4 linked regions of the Caenorhabditis elegans genome follow. The protein of the gene in region 3 purifies or fractionates together with the protein of the main gene of each other region. This does not show direct contact. Each region holds a gene or a part of one and is shown on either strand. Other genes may lie near its edges.

What was found.
Region 1: the proteins of ctps-1 (region 3) and cth-2 fractionate together in Caenorhabditis elegans (co-fractionation; one large-scale study listed by BioGRID). This does not show direct contact.
Region 2: the proteins of ctps-1 (region 3) and rpl-11.2 fractionate together in Caenorhabditis elegans (co-fractionation; one large-scale study listed by BioGRID). This does not show direct contact.
Region 4: the proteins of ctps-1 (region 3) and ctsa-1.1 fractionate together in Caenorhabditis elegans (co-fractionation; one large-scale study listed by BioGRID). This does not show direct contact.

What each region holds. Positions count from the first base shown.
Region 1 is NC_003280.10:7,055,684-7,062,843, reverse strand, and holds cth-2 (Putative cystathionine gamma-lyase 2), read left to right. Parts: upstream 1-4,883; 5' UTR 4,884-4,900; coding exon 4,901-4,975; intron 4,976-5,023; coding exon 5,024-5,645; intron 5,646-6,046; coding exon 6,047-6,528; 3' UTR 6,529-6,660; downstream 6,661-7,160. Other genes in the region: acs-6 (fatty Acid CoA Synthetase family), read right to left, coding at 111-224; ZK1127.3 (EAF7 family protein), read right to left, coding at 6,796-6,918, 6,960-7,160.
Region 2 is NC_003284.9:2,240,701-2,247,318, forward strand, and holds rpl-11.2 (Large ribosomal subunit protein uL5B), read right to left. Parts: upstream 1,919-6,618; 5' UTR 1,917-1,918; coding exon 1,782-1,916; intron 1,730-1,781; coding exon 1,514-1,729; intron 1,463-1,513; coding exon 1,286-1,462; intron 1,239-1,285; coding exon 1,176-1,238; 3' UTR 1,038-1,175; downstream 1-1,037. Other genes in the region: putative G-protein coupled receptor AH9.1, read right to left, coding at 2,902-2,956, 3,009-3,161, 3,323-3,388, 3,436-3,689, 3,739-3,814, 3,863-4,066, 4,658-4,877, 4,924-5,015 and 1 more. UniProt on the Caenorhabditis elegans protein: Component of the ribosome, a large ribonucleoprotein complex responsible for the synthesis of proteins in the cell.
Region 3 is NC_003283.11:16,791,704-16,802,856, forward strand, and holds ctps-1 (CTP synthase), read left to right. Parts: upstream 1-3,204; coding exon 3,205-3,256; intron 3,257-3,627; coding exon 3,628-3,746; intron 3,747-4,369; coding exon 4,370-5,373; intron 5,374-6,333; coding exon 6,334-6,542; intron 6,543-6,591; coding exon 6,592-6,693; intron 6,694-8,159; coding exon 8,160-8,453; intron 8,454-9,816; coding exon 9,817-10,109; downstream 10,110-11,153. Other genes in the region: immt-2 (MICOS complex subunit MIC60-2), read left to right, coding at 342-704, 754-982; pus-1 (Pseudouridylate synthase 1 homolog), read right to left, coding at 1,140-1,553, 2,010-2,345, 2,592-2,789, 2,897-3,046, 3,100-3,249.
Region 4 is NC_003280.10:4,734,710-4,742,269, reverse strand, and holds ctsa-1.1 (Serine carboxypeptidase ctsa-1.1), read right to left. Parts: upstream 4,623-7,560; 5' UTR 4,621-4,622; coding exon 4,475-4,620; intron 4,208-4,474; coding exon 3,421-4,207; intron 3,087-3,420; coding exon 2,947-3,086; intron 2,895-2,946; coding exon 2,558-2,894; 3' UTR 2,468-2,557; downstream 1-2,467. Other genes in the region: acs-11 (fatty Acid CoA Synthetase family), read right to left, coding at 21-131; eas-1 (putative Golgi transport protein 1), read right to left, coding at 1,059-1,100, 1,148-1,229, 1,382-1,457, 1,506-1,608, 1,654-1,745, 1,793-1,823; F41C3.7 (WD_REPEATS_REGION domain-containing protein), read right to left, coding at 5,586-5,660, 6,036-6,108, 6,154-6,279, 6,330-6,430, 6,475-6,616, 6,667-6,827, 6,876-6,959, 7,008-7,085.

The sequences.
Region 1 (7,160 bases), on a different chromosome or scaffold from region 3:
TTCAATCTATATTGATCTTCAATTACAATAGATAGTCTGACACAACTTCCAATCCTATTCTACCATTAATCCAAATTCCGTAAATAAAAATTGTTAAGGTAAGAACTCACAAAACAAACGGCATCTTTGTTAGCTGAAGCGTGAATGCGACAAGCTTCGAAGATTCTCTCATGAACTGTAGTAGTTGACAGCTTTACTGAAGCAGCTTTGGACACGAAAACCATCTGAAAATGTAATTTTCTTTGATTTTCTATTAGAAATATTAATTCTTGTCAACTTAAAACATCCACGAAAAATAAACTGGTGAAAAATTGTTGACAATTTTTATATTTGAAAAAGATAACAATAAAGTTGATTTAAACTTATGATTCGCTTTTTTAGAACCACGTTGAACACTTATTAAGTCGCGTTTTTTTTCTCAATGAGATTTGAAATTATGGGCAAAAAGTGTGGCAGACGTATTTTTCAATCTATCAGCTGTGGATTCTGAGATTTTTTGAAATTTACTACAACCAGACTAGTCCGAAAGTATATCAATTCTTATTTTTCTCTCCAAAAACGGGAAGTTGAGAAATTTTCTGAGACACAGTCAATTTGCGGTGTATCCATCAAAAGCCTTTCAGTATGGATATTATGAACGTACGTCTACAACAAAAGTGCACACTGCAACTTACAAAGGCGTTTGTGAGCCATTATACGTACACATCGTTTTAGAACTGTTCTTACTTCTCAACAATTCCAAAACCCAAAACTTACATTTATCAGAAAACTGAATCGGTGTCAAACGTTCTTGCGATGATATCAAATAGTCGATGTAACTTGAGTAATGAACAAAAATACAAACTGATTTTCGATCATTGATATTCGAAATTGTAGAGTAAACTAGAATGTCACGTTGAATTATTCTAGATTTATATAATTTTCATAATTTTTAGAAGGTATTCACGGTTTCTCTTGATTCAATTTATTCAAAATGTATTGATAGATCTCGCAGAAAAATCAAAGTTATTTTGATACTTTTAAAATCAAGCATCATCCCATGACTATTTTGCCAGTTATCATAACGCAGTTATTTGAAATTCTTATGAATTCCTTTGTAAATGTTCAGTTATCTGAATGAAAACCTAGCTATCCTGTAAGTCTTTTATGGATGGCCAAATGCAGAACGAAGTAAAAAGTCTGAAGCCCATATAATCAAAATTTAATTTTTGGCGGAGAGTGAAAAGTGAAAATTTTTCTGTTAATATTTATGATAAACCAACATGATCGAATATTGTAATAGGTTATTCCAATAAAAGTTTTTGTAAAGTGCCAAAAATGTTTTTGGTAAACTGCCAAATTTTTGAGTGTTTTTTATTTAATTTTGAGAAATATCGAGCAATTATAAAGTTTGTAATATCTACAAGGTGTGATTACATTTATTTTTATTAGTTACCAAAATAACTTCACTTGTTGTTTATTATGTCTTTAATATCTGTAAACTTCGTAAAGTTTCAATCCCAATGCTGAATGCTCAAATTTCTCTGTGCTCTTTTCTCCTCTTCACACTTTTTCCGCTTTCCGCTTCTCTGTTCCGCATCGATTTTCCATCCGCTTCTCCCATTTCCATCTCTAGTTTCTTCTTTCTCTTTCTACTCTTCATTTTCCACCAATTCGTTTCGTTTTCTGTATATGATCAAGTTTATTTTAATTCCATGTACTAATTGCCAAATTAACCATAAACATCAAAATTCCTAATCAAATCCTCAATTGCTGATGAAATAATTTCTAAAACTCGTAATATTTTTTCTAAAGAACACATCGTAGTCATTTCATTACTACAAAAAAACATATGTTTTTCCTATAATGATGACAAAACACAAATCGACACGAGGAGGTCAAATGATGACAATGACAAATCAGAAAAGTTGGAAGGAAACGTATATAAAAGGACGAATTATGAAGTTCAGTTGCTAGACAATATGTCTATTTGCTTTTCAACTAACAAGCATAAAAAATTTGCACTTTTTTTTAACTTTGAGTTTAACTTTCAGCTGAAAATAGAAAATTACACTGATATTTTCAAAAATTCTAGGAATTTTAAATGTCCTCTGCATTCTGAACTTGAAATTGTCAAATATCAATTTTCTTTTTCAGTTTTCTATTTTTCAAAGAGCTCTTCAACTTTCAAAAGTCCCCATCCATCCGACCAGTAGTTTTTTGTAAAGTATATCATTTCTCTTCATCTCTCAATCATTATGATCTCTAACTCTTCACATCTATCAACATTCTCCATTCCTTCCAAACGGCTGATGCAACTGTCTGCCGCGTGCCGCTCAGATTGAGGGGCGGGAGGTGAGCGGACGCAAAGCAGCGTCCATATAAATTTGCGCAGGAGCATTCACTAGACATGCCATTCTGACCTTTTTCCTCTCTATGTCTATTTAATTTTCAAATCGTAAAAATTTTATAATTTTATCAAGTGAGTAGCACATGGCGAGGTTGGTTTGTTATCTTGAAATTGAAATTAAATTTGAATTTCTGCTGACAAATGTTTTTGAGATAGTGACGTATGTGTCACTGAACTCTTATCAATTGTTGACATACTTAATGAAAAAAACGGAGAATCAAACTTCAATAATCTTTTGCTGTTCTACTTCTTAATATGATATAAGTAAGTATGTTCACAGACCTTTAAAAAATCATTTTTTGTCTACTTTTTCTAGTATCCAGAATACATAAATTGCTTATTATTATTAAAATTAAAAGGTGGGCTTAATTTTTACGACAGTATAGACATGAAACATTTTAAATTTTCGATTTTCAGCCAAGTTCCGGTTGGTTTAAGAATACGAGGTCACCTTCAGAATGTTCTGATAGAATTGAAAATAGCTTTCAAAATAATTATTTATTTGAGGTTTATTAGATCCTTCAGTGAATGTTTTGGCAAATTCGGCAACAACTCCACATTTTTACACCTTTGGTGAAAATTATTAATCTAGTTAGTTAATCTAGTTAATCTAAAATTATGGGTACTTATACATTTAAAAAATTAATTTTTCATTCAAGTAGCAAATTGGTAAAACCTGCTTTCTGATCACAAGCAATAAAATGTAAACCTACTGGTAGCAACTCTACCTATTTCTAAATCTAGAAGAAAATGCAATTGATCAATAAATTGAAACTTTCGCTTTCTTTTTCCTCCTCCTCCAAATTCAAGACTTCCTGCAAATGAAATGTCGTCTCAAATCTTATCTTTTCCACGCCAAGGTTGCCAATTAAAAAACACGTCACAATTATCATCATTTCTATGTATTCAATCCCTATCTGCCTCTTCCAAATGATATTTTGAACTTGAACTCTCTCCTTCTGGTGCCCTTTGTCCAACTGCTCGAGACACACATGTGGCTGGTTTGCAGTAGACACAACGAGAGAATGAGACAAATTCTTCTCTCTTTTTGATAACGAAAAAATGATACGAGACATAGAGAAATCGATGCTTTGAGGATTTGATTTCATCGACATGTTTCTCAAACAAAATACCACATGGTAGACCTCCACGTGGGGTGATTGGCACTGGAATTTGAACTTTTTGAAAAAAAAAACTGTAACATGTGATAAATATTATATCAACTAAACGAAGGAACAAAATAAACATTAAGATAGTGTTCAAACTGCACAATTACGTGATTTCAGTTAATTTAAAATTCCTTCAAGACTTTGGAAACTCTAATAGTAAGTCACGTCAAACTGTGTTATCTTTTGTTTCAAGATCGTCATTAGTAAATACATTTATGATTACTGACTTTCATAGTTTGTAAAAAAAAATAATTGCAGCAAGAACTCTTTGTGAACTTGAGCTGATACATTGTCATGATACTGTTGGCCTACTGTAGTTTGTATGCAGAGCCAGTGGAGATTTTCAAAAAAACTCATCTTATGGTGCTAAAATATAGAAATTTTTATACATCCTTAAATGTTTTCGGAAATTTCTATTATTTATACAACGTTGTAATTACTTAAGTTAGTTCTCTTCTATCCTTTTGGAAGTCGATCAAAATAACATTTTCCACGATTTTTAAGTTTTTACTATAAAAACAAATATTAGTAGGGAGGGATAGGGTCGGGGTACTGTAGGATTAATGTATTTTTGTAGAAACCTCTGTTTCTATTAAAATGTTTCTATTACTAGTATTAGGCCAATTCATGTTAAAAATTAAGATTCTGGTTCGTAGAATGTGACTTGACATTATACAATTCAAATTCCGAACTTTTCAAAAAATACTATAGAATTTACAAATATTCAGCTGTTCACGAAAAAACCATATTTGAGCAATAAAAATTGTTTTTAACCAACATATAAAAACACCACAGAATCCCCAGAAATGTCAAATTTATTACCAAACTTGTGCCAAATACATATTATTTTTTGAAGTATGAAAAATACGCCACCTATCAGTCGTTAATCTTATCTTTTATTTTTCAAATTTCTCAATTTCCCACGCTTCTTCTCATATCCGGTTTTTTCTGCAAAATGGTCTCGTTTGGAGATTTGATAAGAGTGTTTATTCCAGATGTGTACATCATTCAATAGTATCAAACATTGTTCATTCCTTCTTTGCACATCACTATTTATTTTTCTTCTTTTCTTCCGTTTTTAACATCTTGTTTGCCTAATCAGCTACATTCTGTAAAATCTAAAAATAATAGAAGATTAACGTCTTTTTGACCAATGTCAAGAACGTTTTTTTCTTTAACGATTTCATTGAAACTTTCGGCGTGTCGACCGACCCTTCGTTTGACCCCGCCCCTTTCATTCGTTCTTTTTTCTTTTCTCTCCTCTTTCTCTCACACTTATAAATCCATTTGATTATCATTTCTCGACATCAGTCTTCTTATTGCAGCCTGTCTCAAGATTAAAATGGCTACTTTCCCACACTTCGGAACTGCTGCTATCCACGTTGGACAAGAACCAGAGCAATGGGATATGAATCAGGTTTGTCATAGGTATTCTGAATATAAATACTGAACTGATACTTTTCAGGTGGTCCCGCCAATCAGCTTGTCCTCGACCTACAAACAGGATAATCCAGGAGAGCCAAAGGGACACGATTATTCTCGTGCTGGAAACCCAACTCGTGATGTTCTTCAAAAGAATCTGGCTGCTCTCGAAGACGCAAAACACTGCCAAGTGTTCTCTTCAGGACTTGCCGCAACTTCCGCAATCATCAATCTTCTCAAGTACGGAGATCATATTGTGTGCTCTGATGATGTCTACGGAGGTACTCAAAGATATATCCGCCGTGTTGCTGTTCCTAATCACGGATTGGAAGTCGATTCGGTTGATTTGACGGATGTTCAGAATCTCGAGAAAGCAATCAAACCAAATACCAAGATGGTTTGGTTTGAATCTCCATCTAACCCACTTTTGAAGGTTGTTGATATTGCCGCAGTGGTCCAAACTGCAAAGAAAGCCAATCCAGAAATTGTTGTAGTTGTTGATAATACCTTCATGTCTCCATACTTCCAACGCCCAATTTCTCTTGGAGCGGATGTTGTCGTTCATTCAATTACCAAGTATATTAATGGACATTCTGATGTTGTTATGGGTGCTGTTATCACTGATAATGACGAGTTCCAACAACATCTTTTCTTCATGCAACTTGGTTAGTTTACTGTGCTGTTGTACGCAGTGAAATCTAGTCGTATAATTTTGTCATTTTGAGGCATAGATACGGTAACCGGTCTTGAAGCTAGTGAAACTTGGCAGCTACTGTATTCGCAAGTGCTTCGAATTTTTTCTTAACGGTTTTCACTGAATTTCAATATTAATTTCTTCGTGTTTTTCTAGAAAAGAAATCAGTTTCTCTGCTTTAGAAATCATATAAAATACATTGGAACTATAAAAAAAATTGCTAAATACTTGTGGGTACTGTAGAAGCAAAGTTTCGCTCATATCGAGAACATGTACCTTGAGTCAAATGTCGCAAAATTATAAAACTGTTTAAAATCTCATTGGATAGCTAAATTAATCGTTAACTCAAAATTTTAATGCTATTATTTTCAGCCGTCGGAGCAGTCCCATCTCCATTTGATTGCTTCCTTGTTAATCGTGGACTCAAAACTCTTCACATCAGAATGAGAGCTCACTATGAAAATGCTCTTGCTGTTGCCAAATACCTTGAAGCCAATGATCGTATCGAATCAGTTCTCTATCCAGCTCTTCCATCTCATCCACAACATGAAGTTCATGAGAAACAAACAAAGGGAATGTCTGGAATGATCTCATTCTATCTTAAAGGAGAACTTCAAGAGAGTCGTGCTTTCCTTTCTGCTCTCAAAGTATTCACTTTGGCTGAATCTCTTGGAGGATATGAATCACTTGCCGAGCTTCCATCTATCATGACTCATGCTTCAGTGCCTGCTGAAACTCGAATTGTTCTTGGAATCACTGATAACCTTATCCGTATCTCTGTTGGAATTGAAGATCTCGATGATTTGGTTGCTGATTTGGATCAAGCTTTGAAGATTGCCATTCCAAAAGTATAACTTTTCAATCATTTTATGATATGCATTTGTTTCAAATCTGAAAGCCGGTACTAGTTTTAATTGCCCACTCGTCTCCACCACAACCTCTAACTAATCGACTCAAATTGTGTCTTACACTATCCAATAAATTTTTTCTATGAAAAATGATAATTGTTATTCGAAACAGAAATTGGAATACATAACATGATATTTTGCAATTGGTATATGAAAGAAAGGTACACATTGAATTATAATTAGATAGCGTAGAAGGAATCATAGAGAGATCATTTAAGTTTGAATGTCATAATTTTCATCTTCTTCTGTCAATCTTCTGGGGATGGTACTCTTCTTTTCCGACTCGACGATCCCGTTGTCTGTGTTTCTTTCTCTTTCTGCTCTCTTATCTGAAAGCTATGAACAAAAATAAGCAATATCTATTGTTTCAAAATTACCTCGCGCACTTCAGCCATGATATACTCGGGAAGTTCGTAATCGGTGACACTATTAAACTCGCTTGGATACGATTCATTTTCTTCACAGAATCTCAGACCGAACCATTTTTTGAGCTTATCTTCGATCATTTCAAGTGAAGGACGACACAAGTATTTAGGCGGATATGAAGTTCGTTCTGGGCGTCCTCCCATCAAGAGGTC
Region 2 (6,618 bases), on a different chromosome or scaffold from region 3:
GCTCCGCTGCGCCCAACTGGTATGGGACTCCCCCTCCATTTGAGCAGTTTAGGGCATTTCCGATTTTTTTCATAGAAAACTAGTTTTGGAATCGGGTTCAGCATACTAAAAAACCTATGAGTCTATAATTTTTTCCTGATATCTCAAAACTTGAGAACAAAAGAGCAAAAAGTTGAAAAATCGACCGCCCAACTGCTACGGGAACCCCTGAGATTTTCGATAATTTTGACAAAAAATCTCATTTTTTCGAAAGAAACCAAATTTTTCAGTTTCAAAGTTTCATTTCATTGTGTAATTCGGTGGTGTACTTTTCATTTTTCATATCATGGAAATAACTGAAAACATGCAAAAGCACGATTTTTAATATTTTATGATCTTTAAGCCCGACTTGAAGCAACTGAGTTGGCTGACAATTTCAACAACTGTGAGCCATTATAGAGCCAATATTGTACATAGCGTTTACCAAGCTTTTTGGTGCCACTCGACTTTTAAGCTCATATCTGAGCAGCCGATAGAGCTTTCTTTACAAAAATTTACAGACTTATGCTGAAAAATATACAAATCATGAACCATTAACAATAGCTTTATCAATCTTCAAATAAGTTTGGTCTTATTTATTTCATATACGCAATGAAACTAAGTTTATTTATGTTTTCGAATTTTCGATTTTCGATTTTCGAAATATATTTTCAGAAATCCCAGAAATATTTCAGGAATTCGAATTGATCACATATCAGATACCAAGGACCGTCAAATTATTTTTGTTCAAAACCCGCCGCTAACTCTCGGAACATAGATCCGATAATTGCGTTATGAACTCGAAATTCGACACATTTGTTTAAGCAACGTAACTTGTATGATTTAAATTGAAAAAAATAAATAATTCTAGATTTATTTTTAGACGCGCCTAGAAAATGAGGTCGTAAGGTTTTATCGAATCACTTGATATATCTTAAAATAACAGACTTATCTCTCTATAAAGTGCTCACAAAGTTCTGACGTTTTTCCCACAATCTTTTCCTTTGCGAATCCACGTTAATTTTTAAAGCTTTTTACTTTTCAGTGTTCAGAAGATTGAGGTTTTTGTGCTCTGAAAAGTTCAACCCAACCCCAAAAACATCATTTTTAATCTGGTACAACATATAACAGTTTATGTCAAAAAATCAACAATTTTCTTAACGGCGACGGTGGAATGTGCGCTTGACCTTTGGCTTTGGTGGGAGGATGATTCCGTCATACTGAAAATTTGAAGATGAACAAAGGTATCTATGAAGCGAAAATTTACCTTCTGTTGGAACCACTTGATGGACTCCTCACGCTCGACTCTGTGGGATGGTCCGACACGTCCTGGGGCGCGTCTTCTCTTGGCGATACGGCGTCCAGCACGGTCAAGGACAACGTAGAAGTCCATTCCGTAGATTCCGATCGATGGATCGTACTTGATTCCCAAGTCGATGTGCTCCTGCAATTCATTAATACTTACAGCTGACTAGATCGCTTCTGCAATGGTTACCTGGACTCCGAATCCGAAGTTTCCGGTGTCGGAGAAGTTCTCCTTGTAGAGCTCGTACTCCTTGACCTTGAGTCCCTTCTCGAGGATTTCCTCGGCCTTTGGTCCGCGGACGGTGCAGTGAACGGCGATCTTTTCGTTTCTGCGGATACCGAAGGTACGGACGGTGTAGCGGGCCTTGGAGAACACTGGGGTCTGTCCAGTGAGCTGCTCGAGCACCTGAAATAAAATAATTCAGTTCATATTCTGCAACAAGTGAAAATTAACTTACCTTAGCGGCACGGGTCAGTCTATCTCCAGACTCTCCGACGCAAATGTTGAGGCAGAGCTTCTGGATCTTGAGCTCACGCATAACATTGCGGGCCTTCTTCTCGCGGATTTCCGTCTGCTTCTCGATGTCACCCATGTCTGTAAAGAGGTAAATAACAATAAAATAATTTTAAATGTAACGGCACAAATTAACAAAAAAGAAAATTGCAAATTTCTAACATCAGAGAATTTCAAAGAAAAACCCAAAAAACTAAAAATAAACAAACTAATAAAGGTTTTCCACCTAAAAATCATCTTCTAACTAATAACCCTAAATTAAAATAATCACTAACAAAAACGCGAATTAAATTATGAAAATCCATTGAACAAAGCTTTCGATTGAAAAAAGTTCGAGTCATCCAATTGTAAAGGGCCTAAAATTTAACAAGAAAAAAGGAAAGATCGGAAATTCTCCTGCAGAATACGAGAGGCAAAATGACTACGGTAACACTCGTTTCTGGCTGTGTGTCCTGCCTGCACATCTAACTTTACGCTGGCAGAATGCCAACATCTCTCGCGTCATCTCGAGTCTCCCACTTCCAAGTGATATTTCCTTTGCAAACCCGGGGGTCTTTGCGTTTTTGGGCCACACATACAAATTCGCTTGGCAGATGGAAAGCAATCGATTAGAATCTGTACAGGACATGTTTCCACGGAGCCGCCGTTGATTTGGTAAGACTTTGGGCCTGAGCCATTATTAAATAAATTTAGTTATCCGGACATTTTTTTATTGTAAAAAAACGGTATTAAATGTGAAAAATTGAACAAAAAAGGTCCAAATCAGTAAGATATGCAACAAAAAAGGTAATGTAAAAAGAAATTGGAATGTGTTCAAATGAAAACGTTTTTGGAGCAACAGAAAAAAAGTAAAGAACAACCGGTCATTCAAAATCACCTAAGACAGAAATTTGGAAATGAGGAGAACAGATAAGGAATAGGTTGACAAGAATTTTGAGAATCACAATTGAAAGTTAACCGTTTCAGAACAGAGATCTATTGATGGAAGCAATTGAAAGAAGGCCGGAAACAAATTTTTGAGTAAAATGAAAAGGAAAGCAACTAGAAGTATATGATAACAACGATTAAACTTCATCCACTGGATTTTCATGATTCTCGTTTCCAAGAAGGACGACAGCTCTGCAAACGGAGATTATGATTGACTTTTGAAACGGAGAGGGGAAAAACTCACTGATGACATCGCTTTCCGTGAACTGAGACTCGAACGGTTGGAGAGTCGCCAGTGGAAGTTGGCGATAAGCTTGATCTACATCCAAATAGTCGGAGAAATGCGTGACGGTATTCAGAAGAACACAGAGCATAAAGGTAGAAGTTGTAGAGATAACTGAAAACGGGGAAAGGTTTGGAACCATCTTTCAGCTTTGAGCTCTTTTCATAAACTACTGAATTTTACAAGAAGTGAAAAAAACCATAGCATGTATTGAATTTTTTGGAGAGTTGAAAAAAGAAAAAAAGCAATTAATTTTTTGTTTTAGGTAGCCATACCTTGTGACTTGAAGAAGATTTGCAATGGCACGGAATATCTGCCAAAACAATGAACCACTAACTCGTCTGAAATGCTGTCCAGTTCAAAGAATTCTCAAAATATTAAGACTTACCGAACGAAGAAAGATATAACGGAGGCAGGAATATTGCAGATGATAAAAGTAGCAGATGTAACGAACAGAAGAACTGATATACGACTGCGATCATCGCGCGGCGACCGAAGTTGGCGTTGAGCTAATGTTTCAGTCCGACTGTTTTGTGATGGCTGTCTCCAGAACCAATTACGTTTGTCAATTTTCCGCAGGCCACGAACGACGCACATGTTCAGGATAACAAGAAGTAGAACGGGACCCCAGCGGCAGATACACTGAAAATTAAACATAAAAACTACTTTTAAAAAAATTCGATTCACTTACTTCTCTTACTATAAGATAGAATTTAAAAACTTGAAGTGCCTCCACATCTTCGTTGCGAACAATTGTGTAGATCGTTCTGGAAGTTGAAATTACACAAAAAAATCTGTCTAGAATATTAACTCACTTGTTGGTGAGAGCATCCGTCACGACACCAAGCTTCTTTTGGAAGACTGATGGAAAATATATCATCAGTGCAATAAAGTAGATCATGACAATGATGAGCATGGTACGACGACGGGATGGCTTTGTCTCATTGTTTTGAAAAAATTTAATTGGATGACAAACTGACACATATCTGTCCACTGTCATGGCAACAATATTCAACGCACTGAAATAGTTGATTTAATTAATGACCAATGTTTTGTTATAGACAATGCTGTCCAAAAAAAGTTATCCCTTTTACTTTTTAAAAATAAATTTGCTAATTTTTCCAATAAATATAACTCCGAGACTAGAACTGCTATCGAAAAAAATTCTACCAACAAGATATGGCCCATTCCCTAAAATTATGGCAAAAACATCTCACGTATCCATTATTTTTTTAAAACGACTGTAACTCAAAACGCAAGGGCAGTTTGTGAAAAAAAATAATTTTCATATAATTTTTCACTGTTAACAGTTATCTTTTTTTTTAATCCATATGGAAAGAAGATATTAGAATTCAAAGTGGAGAGGTTATTCGAGCGCATTTCTCATCGAAAAGGGACTCACGAGATGTCGGCCGCTTTATTTTTTTCCATGATTTTTATGAATAATAGAAACATATAATATGAAAACAATTAGACAAAGTCATGGGATATATATTTTTTCAGTTGAACATTTTTTGAAAACAATTCTAGTTTTGGAGCTATACTTATTTGAACTATTAGAAAAATTATCAAAACACCAAAATGGGATATCTTTTTGACCACGTACATACCTTGCAGAAATAAGTGCGTTTATGAGCGGAAGCTCCAAATGAGCATGATAAAACATCCCGAGCTCCCATGATGGGTCTATCAGCTTGGCATGTCGGAAAAGAAATGGGATAAATGCGACAATACTTAAAATATCGGCAATAGCCGAAGCTTTCAAGTAGAGGAATATGCTAGTTCGAATGTGAAGAAGTGTGCACACATTCAGACATTGATTTATCATTCCTGAAATATAAAAACGTATACTCTCAGAATGTATAAATGAAAATACCTATGGATAAAACGATTGGCATAACGATGACATGGGCGACATAATCGACATGATTCATTTCGGGAGAATCATCCAATGAAGTGGTGCGGAAGCTGAAATATAAAACAAATACAACTTTTTTAAAAAAGGTTTTTGATTATTGGATATTCATTAGGAATTCTCATTTCTGAGGATAGAAGTTTGATGATTCTCAATTTGGATATTGAACGTGGGAAACCCCCCGGCAAATGAAAGTTAGCATAAAATATGATTAAACTTAATCTCAAAGTTTCGTAATGGCCTATAGAACTTTGTTACTTGCAATAGCATCGAAACTACAAAAACATTTTTAGCACCAGACACTATTAAAAAGTTCAGACCTAAACGGTTTACTCCCAAAATGCAGGAAATCCGTTACACCTCCATGCCACTAGACATTAAATTCTGTTTGAAAAACCAGATCCGTCAAAATCGAGATGTTTTCAAAAATATCAAATCGAGAATGGTCGAACAGTTGTGAAAAATCTTTTTTTTCTCTAAAAAATGGGAATAACTCAGTTTTTGCCACTTTTTTGGAAGTCATCGCTCAAAAAAATGTTATCTCCCAAGTTTAAAAAAACTGCCACTTTTTGACAGTTAGAAAAAAAGTAAAAATTTTTTTTTGAAAGGTTTACTAAGATACTCAGTCGTTTTGGAACCATATGAGTGGTTGCTCACAATAACCCCCAAACATTAATAGTATTAGAATATTATTAGTAATAGTATTAGAATATATAGCCGAATATTCGAATCTCGGTAGTTTCAAAAGTATAGCATATTTTGGAAAATATATTATTGATTTAACCTATATGTTTTAAAAATTCTCAAAGAAAAAATTGTTTTAATTGGACTCTCTCAAAAATGCCTAAGTACGTAAAAAAAATCTGATTTTTTTCTTTAAATGTGATTTTATAAAAAAATTTGAAATGTTTCGCCTTCTTAAGTAAAAAGTGATTTTTTTACAGTTCCGCATAATTTGATCAAAAATTGATTTTATCTATACTCTACAGGACAGTTTAAACCTGCAGCAATGTTTGAAAGTACTTAAAAAGTTTGCATTTGTGAAAAATTTGCTACTTTGACTGAAACGTTTAAAAAGCCTAAGAATTTTCGAGGATGTGCAATATTCGGCCATCGTGGACAATTATATATTCAAAAATACAATTTATTAAAACATTGGAATATGTAGATATTAAGGTTGCAAAATGGCAAAATAAAATGCTGTGAGCACTAAGCATAGCGTTCACTTACAAAAAGTGCACCAATCCCGCGTTATAGACGATAGTGAGGAAAAGAACGAGTGCTTTCACAAAAAGTTTGTACTTATATCTGCAGTCGAAGATTCTACGCAGCAAGAACAACAACATGGACGCCTAAGTCCGTGATATTTCTGTAAAAATACATTTAATCGAGAAGAAAAGAAGTTAAGGCGGCAAGCAATATATTTATATTGTTCGTGGAATAGGCGGCATCGTGCCATTTAATCTTGCACGATTACTGGTTTTGGCGTTCTCGGAAAACCGGGCGGGCAAAATTTAATTTGAAAAGGAGCAGAGGAATATGCCAAAAAAAATTCGATCGCCTATACTCTTCCAAATAAAACGAATTGTGAGAAAAATGATGTGATGATGCGCAAACACTTGCCAAAAAGCAAAATAACAGCGATAGAATTGAAAT
Region 3 (11,153 bases):
TTACGCGGGCTCTTGTACTACACGACGAGAATTTTAAAGTTTTTTTTCTGAAAATCTCAATTTTGGAGTACTTTTCCTGCTCTTTACCCTTTAAAATGACCAAAATATCCTATTTTTGGCTGAAATTTTTGGTATTTGGCAATTTTTGCTTGATTTTAGCATTCCAAATAGTCAAAATATCGATTTTCATTTAAAACTCGATGAATTATTGATATTTTGACTTTTTTTTTAGTTAAATTCAAGCGTAAACAGTCCAAAATCGACAATTTCAATCAAAATCCGCCAACTTGTGCGAAAATGTTTTGAATCAAAATCTGAAAAAAATCCCACCATTTTTCCAGATCGAAACAAATGTGGCTAGCCACCCAAAATCTGAAGGGAACTGTAATTTTCGGAAATCGAGCCAGCTGCTGCATGGAGGGAAGACGTGCTCCACTGGGAGATCAAATGAAGACACTTCTCTCGTGCTGTGGTGGTGGAAACTCTGATGAATTCGTGAAAACCATCAATACGGCAATGTCGAAAACCTCAAAAGTCCGCGGGGAGTACACGGAGCAGGATCTGAACACACGCTTCAACAAAGTCTGCCGAATCGGACGTCGTGTTGCCTATGTCAATGAAGGTGGAGCTCTGGCTCATCTCTACTCGTGGCTCAAGTCTTCCCTGACTATTGAGCTCGTCCCGAAGAAGGGTGCTAATGAGAGGTAGTAGTGTCTGAAATGATATCTATCTGTAAAAAAACTATAATTTCAGCCTGACCCCAGCTGTCGAGAACAACTTCACCTTGCTCACACGTGCCGAGCAACTCTGGAAGTCTGGCAAAAAGTCCGACGCGATTCGTGTTCTTCAGCTGACCGACGGGGCCACCCGTAGAGTTGCTGCCGATTTCATCGCTGATGCTCGCCGCCAACACGAGGCACTTCTTCTTTCACGTCTTCTGCTCGCCCACGCGGCTCTCACCTCCATTCGTTCCACTTATTAATAATTATTGAATATGCCAAGTAGTACGTCGTCTGTTGTCTGTCTGAGAATTATGTGTTCTCTCAAAATAATAAAATTATTATTATTTTTTACTTTTAAACAATTTATCAATCAACAAAAACAACAAATTTTACAGCAGTTAAATCAAAAATTATAAATTATCCAGACGACGTCGCTGCTACTGGCTCAGGAGTGACTTCTGCTGGAGCCTCGGCTTCCTTCGGAGCATCTTGAGCCTCTGGAGCAACACCATCCTGCTCCTTGGCCGCCTTGCTCGCACAAGCCGCCGCCATCGTCACAAAAGTCTTCTTCTCGGGCTCCTCAGCTTCCGCATTAGCCGTGAAGTCGTGATGAACAAGATCCGCAAGCCATTTGAGCATTCCCTGAGTGAGCAGCTCCGTCTCGATCATATCCTTGGTGATGAGCTCGAACTTGGTCCGCTCGATTTCTTTTTCGATGATCTCTCCCCAATCGGTCAGTGGTTCGTGGGATTTTGAATTCTTTCGATCGTAGGAATCGTAATGAGTCCGCTCGAGGAGGAGACCCAGTCCTGGAGCCATTGGGATATCCATCTGAAATTTTTTATTTTTTTAAGTTTAAAAGTTTTCGGCTAAAATGCTAGATTTTTGCACTTTTTAATCTCTTTTTCATTTGGATTTCGTTAGAAATTAATTATTTTCGTCTAAAAAAGGTGTTAAACTCGTGAAAAAGCGGCAAAATTGCGCGAAAACTGTTAAATTTTGCGGAAAATAATTCGAAATTGTCCACGAGGAGTACACGCTTGCGTAAATCTACACAATTCTTAAAGGGACATGTACCTCGTGCGCGTGATCTCGCAACGATGCGCGTTTGCCGCTTCAAAATAGGGTTTTTAAAATATTTTTTGGTGAAAAAGATTTAAAAAAACACAAATAATGTTATATTTTCACACTTTCGACGCGAAAATATCGAAAAAATGTTTAAAAATTGTGTTTTTTCGACTGTTTGAAGTTGAAAAAACACCGAAAAAACAGGAAAAAAACACGAACTCGCTGTCCCTCGAATGATCTTTGAATCGACGACTTTAAATGCAGTTCCCGAATGACTGTAATCACCATTCCGACCATTTTTCGAATCTGATGAAGTACAAATGATTGTCCTTTAATCACAATTTGCACGAATTCCACGTCTTCTTTACGAAAATCGTCACGAAAAAGGAATGGTTCTTTGCATTCGAATGAGATAATGTATCGATTGGAGCTCATATCATCGTAGGCTCTTTTAGCGGTATAATTGAAGAAATTGTGGGTTCCGAGGTAGATTGAGAGAATACTGTTCACCTCTGCCAAGGTTTCCGGGGAAAGTCGGAAAGAGGAGTTGGTGAGCTGGAAAATCAAGAATTTTTAGAGATTCTCACGGAATATCAGCGGGAAATTCGATTTTTCGATCAATTTTTGCCCGAAAATACAGGTTTCCAGTCTTTTTTCGCCTGAAAACTTGATTTTTCAGTCTATTTCCGCAGAAAATTCACATTTTCAGCGTGAAACTAAAATTTTCGGTCAAACTTTGCCGGGAAATTCAATTTTTCAGCTAATTTTCGGCGAAAAATCCAAATTTAGCCTCTTCTATACCTCCGTAGGCTTTGCAAACACAAAAGATGGACACGTGTAGCTATAGGTTCGATGATCACACTGCTTCTGTGGATGGAAGAAATTCGTGGTCCGACGCATTCCAAAAACACGAATATCGGCTGGAAGAATGTTGTTAAGAATTCCAGCTCCCTCAGCTTGATACTTGGCGTCATCTCTGGGTAGTTGCATTCCGCACATCTGGAAAAATGATATAAAATTCGCTATTTTTTCCTTTTTTCAATGAAGTTTTTCGGCTTTTCAGTGAAAAAAACACTGATAACAGCAGCAAATTAGTAAACTCCAACCTGTCTAGCAGCTGATACTGCCCTATCAGTTCTCGCCGCTCTTTGAAAAAAGAAATCAAATGGTTTTTCTTTTTGAGCGGTCGTGATCCAACCGGCCGTCTCCATTGCCTCAAGAAGCTTTGATTCAATTGTGGGCAGGTCTTTTTGAAGCTAAAAATTAATTAAAATTTATCAATTTTGACCTTTTTTTTATCTTATCAGACCTGCATGCCGTAGTATTTTTTGCCTTGATAGCCTAAAAGCATCGCATATTTTGCCTGCTTTACTCTTGGCTTTTTAGGTTCCTTGTGCACACCACCCGATTGAACATGGTTGAGCTTGTCGACGGTTTGCTCCTCAACGGTTTTTGTCATGATTCGGGTGAGCCTTTGGAGCAGTTGTTTGAGCATAAAATAGGGCGAATGCCGGCTGAAAGAATTAAATTTTTGATTTTAACAAAAGAAAATAGCGAAAAAGATCACAAAGTATCAAAATAAGACGAGAAACTTAAAAAGAAAAAACGCAAATATTAAATACAAAAATCGAAGGCAAAGTCACGCCATGGGTGCCTGCTGGCGCACTTCGTGCCAGTGTCATTGGCGCGTTTCTCGTGCCCGCGAAAAAAATTTAAAAACAAATTTGTTTTGCCATTTTTTGCCTAAAAACACTCGCGTTTTTTGATTTTTGACCTCAAAAATGTGAAATTTTAATTTCATAACACGAATTTTATCAATTTATCTCGTCTATTACAGAGATGCCGGGCGAAAAACGCGTAAAATACATTCTGGTGACCGGCGGAGTCATTTCTGGCGTCGGAAAAGGCATCATTTCGTCGAGTTTGGGCGTTTTGCTCAAAAATAATGGATACAAGGTAATTGCGATCGACATATGTGGCATATTCCTTGAAGGATCAGAAACGGAGCAAACTGATAAGCGAATTCGCTAGCGAACACTATTTTTTATCAGAAAATTTGAAATTAGTGCTTAAATGATAGAAAATGGACCGTAATGACAGAATATGACTGTTAAAATATGTATAAATTTGCTATGATTTCGCAAATATTCGAGAAAAAGGAGTTATTTTTCGAATTCCCGGACAAGTACGTTGTCTCGGTATATTTATTGGGTTTTTTTTCCGTTTTTCTCCCTAATATTTGATTTTAAACACCGTGTTTCAACTTTTCAGACAGTTTTCCGCAAAAAAATCGTATATTTATGTGAAATTATCGATTTTTAGCCCAATTTTGATGTTTTACCGGGTTTCTCTCGCGTTAATCCGAAAGAAATTCGCAAAAACTTCAAAATTGACCTGAAGTCGATAATTTCACATAAATTTATCTTTTTTGTGGAAAAATAGTGTTTTTGATCAAATATCGAAGAAAATATCCAAAAATACAGCCAAATAACGCATTTGCTCTGAATTTCAATAATTTTTTACAGTTATATTCGGTTCATTTTCCATCGTTTAACACAAAAACCCGCCGCATTTTCCAGGTTTCTGCGATCAAAATCGACCCGTACCTTAATGAAGACGCCGGAACCTTCTCCCCGTATGAGCACGGAGAGGTTTTTGTTCTCGATGATGGAGGAGAAGTTGACTTGGATTTGGGTAACTATGAACGATTTCTCGACATTCGTCTGACTCGTGATAACAATATTACGACGGGAAAAATGTTCAAACACGTGATGGAACGCGAGAGAAGAGGCGATTATTGTGGAAAAACTGTTCAAATGATCCCTCATTTGACCGATGCTATTGTGGATTGGATTGAACGAGTTGCGCGGATCCCTGTTGATGGAACCAGTGAGCAACCCGACGTTTGTATCATTGAACTCGGTGGAACTATTGGGGATATAGAAGGAATGACATATCTCTCGGCATTCGAACGATTCCAACGTCCAACTCTTAAGAATGACTTGATGAATGTTCATGTTTCGCTGATATTACATCCAAACGCCACCGGTGAACCGAAAACCAAGCCAATGCAGAACTCTGTCCGCCATTTGCGGGCCGCCGGTCTTGTGCCGGATCTTCTGATTTGCCGTTCGACTGAGAAGCTTGATCCTCACCTCAGAGAGAAGATTGCCGGGTTTGGAATGATGGATTTGGAGCAGGTGGTTGGTGTTCATGATGTGTCGAATATATACAAGGTTCCACTGCTTCTCCAGCAGCAGGGAGTGTTGGAAGCGATTACTCAGCGTCTCAGATTATCGGAAATCTCTGAGAATATTAGAAAAGATTTGAAATTCAACATGAATCACTGGACTAATCTATCGGAGCTCTGTGATACTTTCCAGCAGGTTGTGAATATTGCACTCGTCGGAAAATACGTGAAAATCGCCGATGCCTATGCTTCAGTCAATAAAGCTTTGTCTCATGCTGCTATTCACGCCAAACGGAAGCTCAAGATAACCTACGTCGACTCGGAGCTTTTGGAGAATAAGCCAGGAATGGAAGAACAGTCGAGAGCCGCTTGGGATAGTGTGAAGGCTGCTGAGTATGTGGAAAGAAGGAAAAAAATGCTAAAATTTCTCGGAAAACGGCGTATTTCTAGCTGAAATCACGATTTTTTCCAATTTTTCTAGTCAAATTGGACTGAAATTGGCAAAAAAAAGCTAAATTTTTTGTTAGAATATGGAATTTTTTCCGATTTTTCATGTTGGAGAGACCGAAAATTGGTCTCAACAGGTAAAAATTCGGCGAAGATGCTCAAAAAATGCATTTTTGAGCCATTTTTCACATTTTTAAACTGAAATTAAAGATATTTTCTAACCAATCAAATGTTTTACTGTATTTTGACACTTTTTGACACTAAAGGATTATTCGAAAATTGTCGTCGAAAAATAGGAAATTAAGCCAAAATCTGCGACTTTACGGGTTTTTCATGTTAGAGTGACTCAAAAATGGCCAAATATCAATGAGACTTCTTAAAAATTACTCATTTCCCGAAAAAATGAATATTTCTAGCTAAACTCTCAATTTTTTCCAAATTTTCCATGTCTCAGCGGCGGGAAATTCGATTTTTAAATTTTCATAGATTCTACTGTGTCAAAATAGCATGAAAATTCCCGAATTTCGACGAAAAAGGGGAAACTTCTTTTTTTGACACTCAAAATTTCCGTTTTTTCGTCGAAATTTGGGAATTTTCATATTATTTTGATCCCGTGAAAGCGATGAAAGTTTGAAAAAATCGTATTTCCCGCCGCTGAGACATGGAAAAATTGGGAAAAAATTGAGAGTTTAGCTAGAAATATTCATTTTTTCGGGAAATGAGTAATTTTTAAGAAGTCTCATTGATATTTGGCCATTTTTAAGCCGCTCTAACATGAAAATTCACAGATTTTTACTTAATTTCCCATTTTTCGACGACAATTTTTGATTATTCTTTTGAAGTTCGGGATTTTATGCCATTTTTAGTGTATTAAACCGAAAAATATCAAAAATTTCAAATTTTCAGCGGCGTAATTGTGCCCGGAGGATTCGATAAACGTGGTGTAGAAGGAATGATCAATGCAGCAGAATACTGTAGAAAAAACGATGTTCCATATCTTGGAGTTTGTCTGGGAATGCAAGTGGCGGCTATCGAATTCGCTAGAAATGTTCTGAGCATCGACGGAGCCAATTCGACGGAATTTAACTCGAAATTGCACGAAAATCAGCAGATTGGTAGGCTCTGAAGATAATTAATTCATTAATTAAATTGATTTTTTTTCAGTGATCGATATGCCAGAACATAATGTTGAAGAGAAGGGATTGGGTGGAACTATGCGTCTTGGAAGACGTTCTACAGTATTCCTTACCGACGAATGCATTCTTCGTACGTTTTCCAGGAGATTGGAGTTGTTTTTCAGCTTTTTCAGATAATTTTACCTATGAAAACTGCAATTTTTGGCGTTTTTATCATAGAAAACCGCAAAATTTGAAGGCTTCAAACAGGAAAACCCTGATTTTTCAGGTTTTTGTGCTGGTTTTTCTCGTAAAAATGTGGATTTTTACCTGTATTTTACACAGACAATTAGAATTTTCCATGAATTTAGCAAATTAATTACAAAAAGTGGAGTAGCGAGACTCAAAATGGCCACAAAATACATAATTTCATAGTAAAAATCTGGAAAAACGCTAAAATTAGCGAAAAGTTCCAATTTTGCAAGGTCTCCTTGTCGTTGCTGCCGGAAATAGATTTTTATTCAATTATCGCAATTTATTGTGTATTTTGTTCGTTTATCCTTCGTTTTTCCTTTTATCGACTGAAAATGTACCCTAATAAATGAAAAAAACACTGGAAAACCCCACCAAAATGATCCAAAAAAAGCGAAAATTGAATAAAAACCTATTTCCGACAGCTACAACAAGGTGAAGCTTGCGATATGAGAGTTTTTGGTGAATTTTGCGTTGTTGAGATTTTTAAAAGCTGTTTTACTATAAAATTCGGAATTTTGTGGCCATTTTCACGTTCGCTACCTCCCTTTTAACATATTTGTAATTTTTGGCAGAAAAACACGGGAATTCGTCCAGAAAATCGAATTTTCTGTGTTAAAAACCGACGAATATGCATTTTTACACTGAAAACAGCACAAAAAGCTGGGAAATGCTTAGAAAATTGGCATTAAAGGTGAAAAAGCCCTAGAATTGCTTTAAAACACCGAATTTCGCAATTTTCTCGGCTAAAACGGACAGAAATTGAAATTTTTAATGGAATAATACGTCAAAAAGCTGAAAATTTCAGAAAAATGCGTCGAAATTCGCATAAGAACTGAAGAACGTCCTCTAAATAAAACTCTGGTTATAGTTTCGTTAAAACGCCGAGTTTCGCAATTTTCTGTGCTAAAAACGAACAGAAATTGCAATTTTTGTCGAAAAAATATCTGAAAGAGCCTAAAAAATAGGAAAAAGCGGTTTTTTTTCTCGAAAATTTGACTCAAAATTTGCAAAAATCTGAATTTTTCAATTTGTTGCGGTTTTAGCAACTTTTTGTGACAAAAAATTTATTTTTTAGACTGAATTTGGTATTTTTAGGCCTATTTTCAAACAAAAAAAAAGAAGTTTAAAATATCAGAAATTCGGATTGAAAAAGTTTTTACTTTTTAAGCCTATTTTCGGAAAATAAGCTTTAAAGTAATAATTTCAGCTGAAAAAATGACTTTTTAGGTGCAAAACATGGAAAAAAACGTTAAATTTTGCGATTTTCTAGGCTAAAACGCACAGAAATTGCCATTTTCATCAGAAAAAGCTGAAAAAAAACCCGCCTAAAATCAGAATTAAAAAAAAAATTTCTCATTCCAGACCGTCTCTACGGAACTCACACAGTGGAAGAACGTCACCGTCACCGTTACGAAGTGAATCCCCACGTTGTTCCACAAATGGCTCGGAAGGGATTCTTGTTCGTCGGAATGGGTGTAGATGAACAGAATACTGATATTTGGGATGTTAAGAAGCGAACCGACAGCTCGGCGGAGCTTATGCAGATGGCTGATCAGACTGAAATTGATTTGTTGCACAAAATTGATGATTTGTGTCAGAGAGGAGGCGATGGGGTTACTCGGCCAGCTGTTCGTATGGAAATGTTCGAGATGAAGGGTAAATATAAGGACGAAAATTCAATTTTTAAGCCCTGGCAGACAGATTCTCATACAGAAACCTTCAAATTTTAAGAAAAAAAAGGCTAAAATCTTAGATTTTGCCATTAAAAATGTTTCAAAAATGTTTTATGGCGGTTAAAAATTATGAAAAAATGCCCAGCTTGTAGCTAATTAAGCGGCCGAAAAATTGATTTTTAATTGCTTATTAGTTCACATTTTTCGTTATTCCAGGTGCATTTTGCCTACCTATAGACCTTAAATATACCTAAATCAACGAAAAAACGTGCTATTAATGACAGAAATAAGACAAGATTCAATTAAAAATCAATTTTAATTAGTTCGAAAGTTTGAACCGTAATAAAAAAGTTTTGAAACATTTTTAAAATATCTCAATTCAAAATGTGTTTATTTTAGCATATTTCGAGTTTACACAAGCTATTTCATGAGATCAATCGATATTCTTCTCGCTTTAGTTGCTCCAAATCGATAATTACCTCTGGAAATTGCGTCCTGGCAATTTTCAGAGAGAGCGAACGCGCTCCATTGCGAACCATTTGATTTTGAAATTGATGACTCTCTCTCTGCAAGTGGTTACGCAATTTTCTTTGCTAACAGTTAATTTTTTTCTCAAAATCTGCTGGTTTGGCCCTGTCACTCTTAATTTAGGCCGTTTTCTCTTAGTCGTATTTTTCTACTTTTTTAAAAATTCTTACCAAGGGTGTAATTGGAGAAAATCGAGAAATTTCGATTTTTTAATCAAATTTTTTTTGTGGAGAAAAACATAAAAAGGCATATTATTTTCTTATAAAATGTGGGAAAACACCCCAAATTTTCAGCTATTTTCCGAGAAATCGACTTTGTTTTCGAAAAATCAAAAAAAAAAAAAAAAAAATTTCATTTTTTTGATAATTTTTATTCAAGTTGACGAGTAAAAACTATAAGGAAATCGATATTTTTCTTCAAAAATGTGGGAAAAATAGCCCAAATTTTAAGCCATTTTCCGGACAAATCTACAATTTTTTTTTTGAAATTTCAGAAAAATTTTAACAAGACTGTCAAAAAAAAATTCGGCTAAAAAAAAGAAACTGTTGGTTTTTTATCGTCATACCAACTAAAATATAACATTTTTGAAGAAAAAAAAAGAAGTTTTTTGGTCCGAAAAACCTAACAAAAATTCCATTTTTGGAAGTTATTTTCCTAAAAATCTAAATTTTTCTGGTGAAAATCGATGAACAAACTTTAAAAAAAAATCAAATTTTGTTTATGCTGATAAACATTATTTTATTCATTTTTGAGAAGATTTTTCAAAAAGTCGAAATTAAAAAAAACCGGCACCCCTTGAAGCTTATCTCCAATTCCAGACCACCCATACTTTGTCGGAGCCCAATTCCATCCCGAATACCTTTCCCATCCACTCACTCCATCTCCACCATTCTTCGGTCTTCTGCTTGCCGCAACTCGTCAACTTAATTCATATTTCTCTGGGTCAAGAAGTCCGGCTCTTCAAGTTGTAAATGAAGAGGAGCATCTTCATCATACAAAAGAGAATGACTCGGAGGAGAAGCGTGAAGATGTTGTTGGAGCAATGTTGGGGAAACTGAAACTCGAGGGAAATGCTGTGCCAGGAACTCAGAGATTGGCTTCTTTCCATTAATTGTTTCCTCAATTTTTCGTCGTTTTTTTTCACTTTTTTTGTAGTTGAGTAGATGATTTTGTCAGAAAATCGTCTTAAAATTTGCAGAAATTGACCGATTTTTTGCCTTTTTTTGAGCCAAAAATCCATTTTTCGAGCTGAAATCGCTGAATTTTTGGATTTTTTGCAGTTTTTGAGCCAAAAATCCATTTTTCAAGCTGACATTGCTGAATTTTTGGATTTTTGCTCTCCGAAAAGCTATTTTTTGTGCGAAAAACGGGAAAACGCTCAAAACTTGGTATTTTTCGATTTTTTTTTCAATTTTTGCCGTTTTTTGAGCTGCTTATCTTAAAATTTACATTTTTGCGCCAGAAAACTCATTTTTTCAGCCGATTTCCCAAAAATATGCCTAAAAAGGAACACTTTTACCCCGAAAAGTGGTTTTTTTTTTTGAGGCAAAAATGTTTTTAAAAATCCAAAATTTGAGCGAAATATGTAAAAAATGGCTTTTTCCACCAAAAAACTATTTTTTGATCTGAAATTGCGATATTTCAAGCTTTTTTTCCCAAAAACTGGCCTAAAAATACCAATTTCAGTCCAAAAAATTATTTTTTGACTCAAAAAATTGCCAAAATCCGCCAGAAAAACGAAAAATTCAGATTTTTGCAAATTTTGAGTCAAATTTTCGAAAAAATCGACCCTTTTTCGTCAATTTCAGACCATTTTCAGACAAAAATCCCTCCAGTTTTTGTTGTTTTTATTCTTATTTTCTGATATTCCAAAGATAATTTTCTTCTTTTTTTTCGCATTTTTCTCGTCGTTTTTGTCCTTTTGTTATCCTTGTTTCTGTTTTTTTTTCATTAATTTCTCCCATAGTCACCTTCATTTTTTCCCGGATTTATTCAATTGTTGACCCAGTTTCATAGATTTTGTTCTCTACCAACACCCGATGAACTTCGTTTTTAGAGTTTTTGATCACTTATTTTGGCGCCCAAAATTGTCTATTTTCTTGCCTCTTTTGGTTATCTTTTTCACGTTTTCAGACCCCGAAAAGTGATTTTCAGA
Region 4 (7,560 bases), on a different chromosome or scaffold from region 3:
GAAGGATATTGAATAGCAACCTTCGAAGGATCGGATTGAAGCTGAGCTTGACTGACAATATTGTTGGCTGCAGAAGAAGCGGCACGGAGCCCAATTTGTGGATGGACGGAGCTGACTAGACGACTGAGCATTTCTGAAATATCTAATTTTCTGTAATAGAAACAATGCTTTAAAATGAAAAATTCAAGAAAATTAGGCAACTTCTATTTAAAATTCAACTTTGGAAGTTTTTTTTCAAAGTTTTCGCATTCTAATTGCACAAAATATGCACAATACCGTAAATTTTCAATTTTTTATTTCAAAATGATGTTCAAAAATGCTTGATTTGGTTTTTAACCTTATTTCATCAATTTCTGCATTTTTTTTCTTTTAAAAATAATTTTTTCTACGAGTAAGAACTTTTTCAGTTTTTATCGGACTTTTCAGGTAGATTCTAAGTTTAAAACAAGGTTTTTGTTTCAAATCTGCAGTGCTTGAAAACAGGAAGCTGTAGAAAACTGAATTAAAATCGTGAATTGATCGGGTTGACCGTTTCTTATAACGAGATGTTGTTGGCCCTGCGTCTCGTATTCTCGATTTGTCATTCTTAAAAATGGCAACAAAGATAAGAGGTTGAAGGGAGAAGAAACCTTCGTCGAAATGAGTTCTTTGGTGGTGAAAACGTGATTTGTTTGATCTGAAGAACAAGCATAGAACATCATTTTTTTTGATCGAAATGAGTCATGTAATGGATATCGAGTCAGAACACAAGAAAAGGAAAAAAGGGAATCTAATAAATAATTATAATCACATTTTTCACCTAGGAACAGAAGAAAATGAAAGCGTATTATACAACAAAGGCTGAGGGATATTTTAGAAATGAGATAAAATTTAAAATTTTTAATAATAAATAAATTAAAATTGAATAATATTACACAGAAAATGTGCATTTTGGCCGAAATCGTAGTTGAACCGAACGTGATATGAGAGGAGAAGGGACAACACAGGAGAAAATATTTTCAACAAAAAAGAAAATAGAACCCATTTTTGGTGAGATTTTTGGGAAGATCCTGAACTTTTCAGACGGGGTACTTGGATTCTGGAGCAAGGCGATCGAGGACCTAAAACTTGAAATAATTGATAAAAATCCTGATTCGTTAGAACTGACCTGTCGGATTCCAGGAAGATATGTGATTGTTGAGATTCCGGGGATACTTCTGAGCAAATTGACAATTCCAGGCAGGAAACCACTGTAAATTCATTATTATTAGATTAAATTTAATTTCGTGAGCGATTAGTTCAAAATGTTTGTTACAAATCGAAGAAAAAGAGCAGAAAATTCAAGATATTGATTCTATTGCAAATATTTAGAAAACTCAACATTTTTTAGTCAAAAACTCACCCGAAAAGGACAATAAATCCCCAACACTCGGCAATCATTCCGAACAATGGGTACCCAAATAGAACTACCAAAATCCCTGAAAATAAATTTTTAAATTAAAATAATGAATTCCTTGTGATCGAACCTCCGAAGAAGAGAATGCTTCCTTTCAGTTTTCGGAATTCGAAGAAGAAAACAAGTGTTCGCTGCACGCCGATAATAAATGTGATTCCAACAATGAATAGAAGCTGAAAATAATAATTTTATGCTTTAAATTTACAATAAATACTTACATTTCCGATAGCTAAAAGAGCAGAATCAAGGAACATCAGCACTCCGAGAAATATGAAAAAGAAGCCGAACGTCGTTAACCCCACTCCGATTTCTGAAATGTTTCACAGTTTACATATATTTTCTGATTTTCAAACTTACGTTTTGTTGTGCTTACTTCGAAATTCATCATTTTGACTGGACCCAAGTGGTTTCTCTTTTAAACGGCTGAAAAAAATTAAATTCTCAAAAGAATCGGTCATAGAAAAACAAATAGAAGAAGATTATTGATTTTTTGAAATAAATTTGCGTTTCTTTTTAGCAAATGAAACTGATTTTATCTCGAATTGAAAAATTTAAGCGAAAAATCGGAAAATAAAACTGGAAATTCCGCGGAAATGACGTGTACGTAAAATTGCGGACCACGTGGCCGCCGTGCATTTCCGCGTGGCCTAGAAACTCGCACATGGCCGAAGTAGCGAAAATCGGCGGGAAAAAGGAAAATTTAAATTTGAATGGTAAACTTTTGAATTCGTAGTATTTTCGCTCAATTAATACGATTTTTATTGAGAAATTGGACAAAAAGTAACTATGTTGGTTGGAAGTGCCACAAAAGGCATTTTTGAGATTTCAAATCGATATTTTTTCGAACAAACAAGACTTTCCAATTATTTATTGACTATTTCCAAAGGTACAACGTATTAATAAGTAGAACATCAGTTTTATTAATCGAAATTACTTGAAATTTTAATCCAAACGTCATATGAGTAAACCGATTACAGTTATTTGGAAGCTTTCTGAAAAATATTTCAGTGTATTCGAAAATCACAAAATTTAAAAATCAAATTTCATTATTCAAAACTTGGAAAATTGACCAATAGATTGAAAAATAAATAAGAAGATAAAAATATTATTTGTTCTCCAAATTTAAAGTGGATGATTATTCAGGAACTGTTGAACGGCGTAGTACATTTGTGGAGCTCTCCATTGTGGAGCCATATGTCCAGCTCCGCGAATAGTGATGAAACTGAGCCCATCGAAAAGTGTCTTGAATCCGGCGATTTGTCTATCATACTTCCATGGAGTCTTTTTAAGTGTTCTACGAAGTCCAAGTTGATCAGAGAATTGCTGTCCCATCATAAAGTTGCAGGCCATATCAGTATCTCCATAGTACAAAAGAACTCTGACGTGGTTCTTGACGATCTTCTTGATGAATGGAGTCATATCGGTGTACTGCTTCTGGTAGGTAGTAGTCACCTTGTCACTGAAAATTTTTGTTTTGATCTCTGGGCTTGGGCTCTTTGGCTCAGGCTCACCTGCAGATATCCCATTTTCCAAGATTGAATGGAATGTGGATTGCCTTACGAACCTTTGGATTGTTCATATAGGAGAGCATCTCAGTATCGTTGAGGCATGGAACATCAGCCTTAAGTGGCTTTTGGGATTGAGATTTGTTCTGAAAGATACAAATATGAAGTGACTGCTATGGTGGTAATTATTGATCAAATTAAAAAAGTTTTAAATATGCAATTTGACCAAAAAAAATTCTATAACCTTTTTCCTATTTTAATTTTTTTTACTTGGATGGCAAAAAAATTGTTTGAATATAATCCTTGCAGGGTTTCGTTCACAAAACAATTTTCAAAGTTTTCAAAAAAAAAAACTGCTGATAATGATCTCATGACCGTGACACCTACCGTGACACTAGGTGAAAACTGAGTACTGAAAAATTTTCTGAAAAGTTTTCCAATGATATTTTTACATTTTCCCATTGCTGCTACCCCACATACTTTCAAAAATTGATAAAGGGAAGTCTTTGTTTGATTTTTCAAGAGCTCATCAAAATGGGCCATTGCTGGAGCAACTCCTCTCAACATGTGCTTCATTCTCTTGCTGTTCACTGATGGATTTGGATCACAATCTCTGTACAAATCATATGGATTCAATCCTCCGAACCACAAGAATTGGAAGATGTCCTCAACGAGAGTTGCACAGTGTCCGGTGACTTGAGTCAAATCACATGAATCAATGCATCCTCTGCAGCAATCTCTCTCAAGAGTATTCCAGATCTTCTCATCAATAAGTCCGTGTCCATAAGCAAATCTGACAGAGGTATCAATGTTAAGCTTCTCATTAACATATCCATTTCCAAGTGCCATTCCTTTCAAGTTAATTGGGAAGTCCTTTTGTCCATCAACAATTCTTGCGGTAAGAGTTGGAACATAAACTCCTCCATAAGACTCTCCCATAATGAATGTCTGATGATGACGGAATTGTGGGAATTCAGTGAAGAATTGTTTGACAGCTTCGTAGTTCTCAAGAGAAGTCAAATCATCGTTGGTTGTGATGTTTCCATCAGTGGCATACGAGTAACCAACTCCAGCTGGAGACTCAATATAGACAACTGAAGCCATTTTGTTCCATGAGTACTCGTTTTCACGAAGAGTCTTTCCATCTTCATTGGCAACATATGGTCCCATTTCATTGAGAAGTCCGTCCAAGGAAGAGCATCCTGGTCCTCCGTTGAACCAGAAGATCAGTGGGTCGTTGGATGGCTCGTTTTGGGATTCGACGAACCTGGAATAATGATTTAGGATGATTTATTAGACAAGCCGGTATGAAGGCAAGCTCGCATTCAAAAGATTTTCGTTGTGTAAGTTGTAAGATTTTCGTGTAAGATTTGTTGTGTAAGATTTTCGTTGTGTAAGCTTCTGAACCTATTTCACACCTTGAACACTGTTTCAAACAACCTTTCGATCGACGAAAAATTGAAAAGGTACAAGACTTTTTTTACTTTCATGCTAGTTTGCACTTTTTAGGCTAACTTCTGTCCTTCATACTCACCAATAATGAAGCACATGGTTATCCGAAACTTGGAAGAATCCGGAATAATGCTTGAAATTCGGCTCAAAGTCCAATCCTGGCAAATCCTTGATCTCTTCTCCACAGGTCACCCCGACGAAGAAGGCGAGAAGCAGAAGGGTTTTCATACCTGAAATTCAATGAATTAGAGGTTGAGCATGGAACATGACAAGAAAGAAAAACAGATATCTTGTGATGTTTGTCTGAGACATTGGAGAGAAGGAGGCGGAGTCTCGACTGTCCCATAGGGGCGGAGCCAGAAGAAGGCAAAGGACAATTTGAGGACAATGTGGATCTGTGAAGATTGGGGAGATGGTTGTGCACAAGATTTGAATTTGAAAAAAAAAAGATTTGATTTTGATAAGATAGAGATCAAACGACTAGTGCCATCGTGTACTCTATAAATTTCTGTGAGGCAGGGGAGAACCAGCTTCAGGAAATTTAAATTGTCTATTTTTTGTAGTCGTAGAGTACTAAATGTGGGCAAGTTTAAAGGTCTTTCTTAGCTTTCCTATTGGAAGCAGGTACTAGTTAGTTAGAGTCCGCTTTAAGGCAGGTAGGCAACAGGTGGAGTACGGAAATCTGACACATTTTTAGACTTGAAATGGCTCAAAACTATCGAATGTCGTAATGAGACCTTATGAAAAATTCTCAAAAAACGTTATTGCTCTGGCCTCTGAAATTTCTATTTTTGCCAACTTGCCAAAGTCAGAACAAGAAACGAAATATTTCCAGATTTTCCGATTTTTTATTAACGAAACTCTTTCAAAAAATTTTGCGGCGCAGTCAATTTTGGTTGTCTCATTTTTACCTGTTCAATAGAACATTTCTTCCAGAAACTTTTTTATCTTTTCTGATTTAAATTCTTTATTTCTCTCACGCCATGCTGAAGGAGCCAATATTACAACACGCAACGCGATCAACATTCAATAAATCAATTTATATCAAAAAGATTGTGGAGAAGAAAACGAGACAATCATTTTTGCAAAGAAATGAAGATAAGAGAAAATATTTGTGAGCAACGGCGGGTTTTTAAGCAGGCGAGTGATGGATTGGGGTCAATTGAATGAGGATCGGTAGAGGCTGGCACCGATCACTGTTGGCCACTGGTCGAGTCAATGCCAAACACCACAAAGTGAACTTCCGAGTTGGTGAGAATCACAAACTTCTGAAAAAAGAAAACATTTTAGGTGATCGCCAGGTGGCCAGAAACCATGAAAAAAAACGTTTAGAGTTGTGGATCCTGATTTCGTTTTAAAAAAATTGGGGCGTCAGTTCAAAGGCACAGGCTGTTTTCTGAGTGACTCTCGTCATGGATTGAATTTCCCTTATTTGTTCAATTGATATAGAAAGAGATTAATTGGCCAATTTTTTGTAAGACAAAACAAACGTTAAATGAAAGATAAATGTTTTTAGAATCTGGGACCGTGTTTGGCAGATTTTAAAAACCAATTTTTATATTCAAAATCTGATCTTCCATTTAACGTGTGTTTTGTATACCCAGAAATCATGTTATATGCTTATTATTTTCTTTGTTTCATACCTGAGAATATGTTAAAAGTAGTTTTGTGCAATGGTTCAGGTATGTTGTGAATAGTTGATCTCGATATTTTCTTCTAAAAAATTTTAGTACCGTGTAAACAAAGACTGCAACTGCATACCCATTAGGTTTCAATTTCCAAACTGAAACTACGCCGGCAGAAGTTAAGGAGTACAAATTCTCCTCGTCGCAAGCCACGTCTACTGTATATTCAGACGATCCAAAGCAAAGTTGATGAGATGGATTTCTGAAAAAAAACTGTTTCTTTAAAAATTGAAGCTCAATTAAATTGCATACTTTGGTTTATCTTTTTCCCAGACAAAACAAGTTTGAGAAAACTTATCAAAAATCATGAGCCGATCTTCTCCAAATTTTCCAATATCTCCAGTTGTGATAGTCTGAAAATATAATTGCTAATTTCCGCTAGAATTGCCAAAATGACTTTTTCTGTCTCATAGTTCTCGTAATCCAGTGGAGAATCTGATGTGAAGCTAGAGATAAACTTGTTCGATAGCACATAAATTCGATTTTCAATTACGAAGCTAGAAGAGATTGGATTCAGTAGTGGAGAGCACTCGAAAATTCTGAATATACATTTTTACAATATATCTCTGTTTCCCTATTAAAAACCAACTTTTCCTGATTCTCCAAAATAGTAACTTTTCCGGATCCATTCATATAACACGGACTTCCATTTAAAACAAGTAATGAGACGACATCTGCCACGTCATCATAGGTTATCATTTTCTCCAAATCATCAATTTCCATCATCAATATTTTCGATGAGGAGTAGAGCTGGAAAATGTGTACTGATAATCTTTAGAAGTATAGATACTTGCACACCATCACAAAATTATGGCTCGAATATAGGCGAACTTTTTGATGCGCAAGAAAATAATCATTTTCGATATTATGTAAGATACTTTTCTGAAATAAAGTTAATTTGATAAATTTGATAAATTTTTTGTAACTTACGAGGAGATTTTTCAAAGATCTCAGTTCAACAAAGTATCGGTTTTCTTGAGGTAAGAAAAGTAGAAGAACGAAGATATTCTGGAAATTTGGGGTGTTTTGGAAAATTTTGCTAATAAAAAGTTATTGTGAATACACTATGAGGATGTCCATTTATATTTAAAAAATCAAATCTTAAAGTTAGAGTCTGTAATGAATCTGCAAAATGCGTCAGTGTTGCATGTTCTCCCGATATTTTTTATTCGAACTTGGTGATAAAATATGGTAAAATATTTGCTTTATTTGAAAATAATTTTAATTTTATTCAAAGCAATTGAAAAATTTCTCACTTCTCAGAGACGTTTGTGAGAGAATCCACGGAATAAGGAAGACGCATGGAATTCTACAACACTTTCCAATTTTTCATTCAATAAATCAGATACAATTTCCTTATACAGAATCCTTAACCTATACATCCTTTTTCACATGGATCCGATTTCACGGGTGTGCTAAATTATTGTTACAAGAGAATCAGAGAAAAAGAAGCAATGATTGAAAAGTGAATGGAACACACATA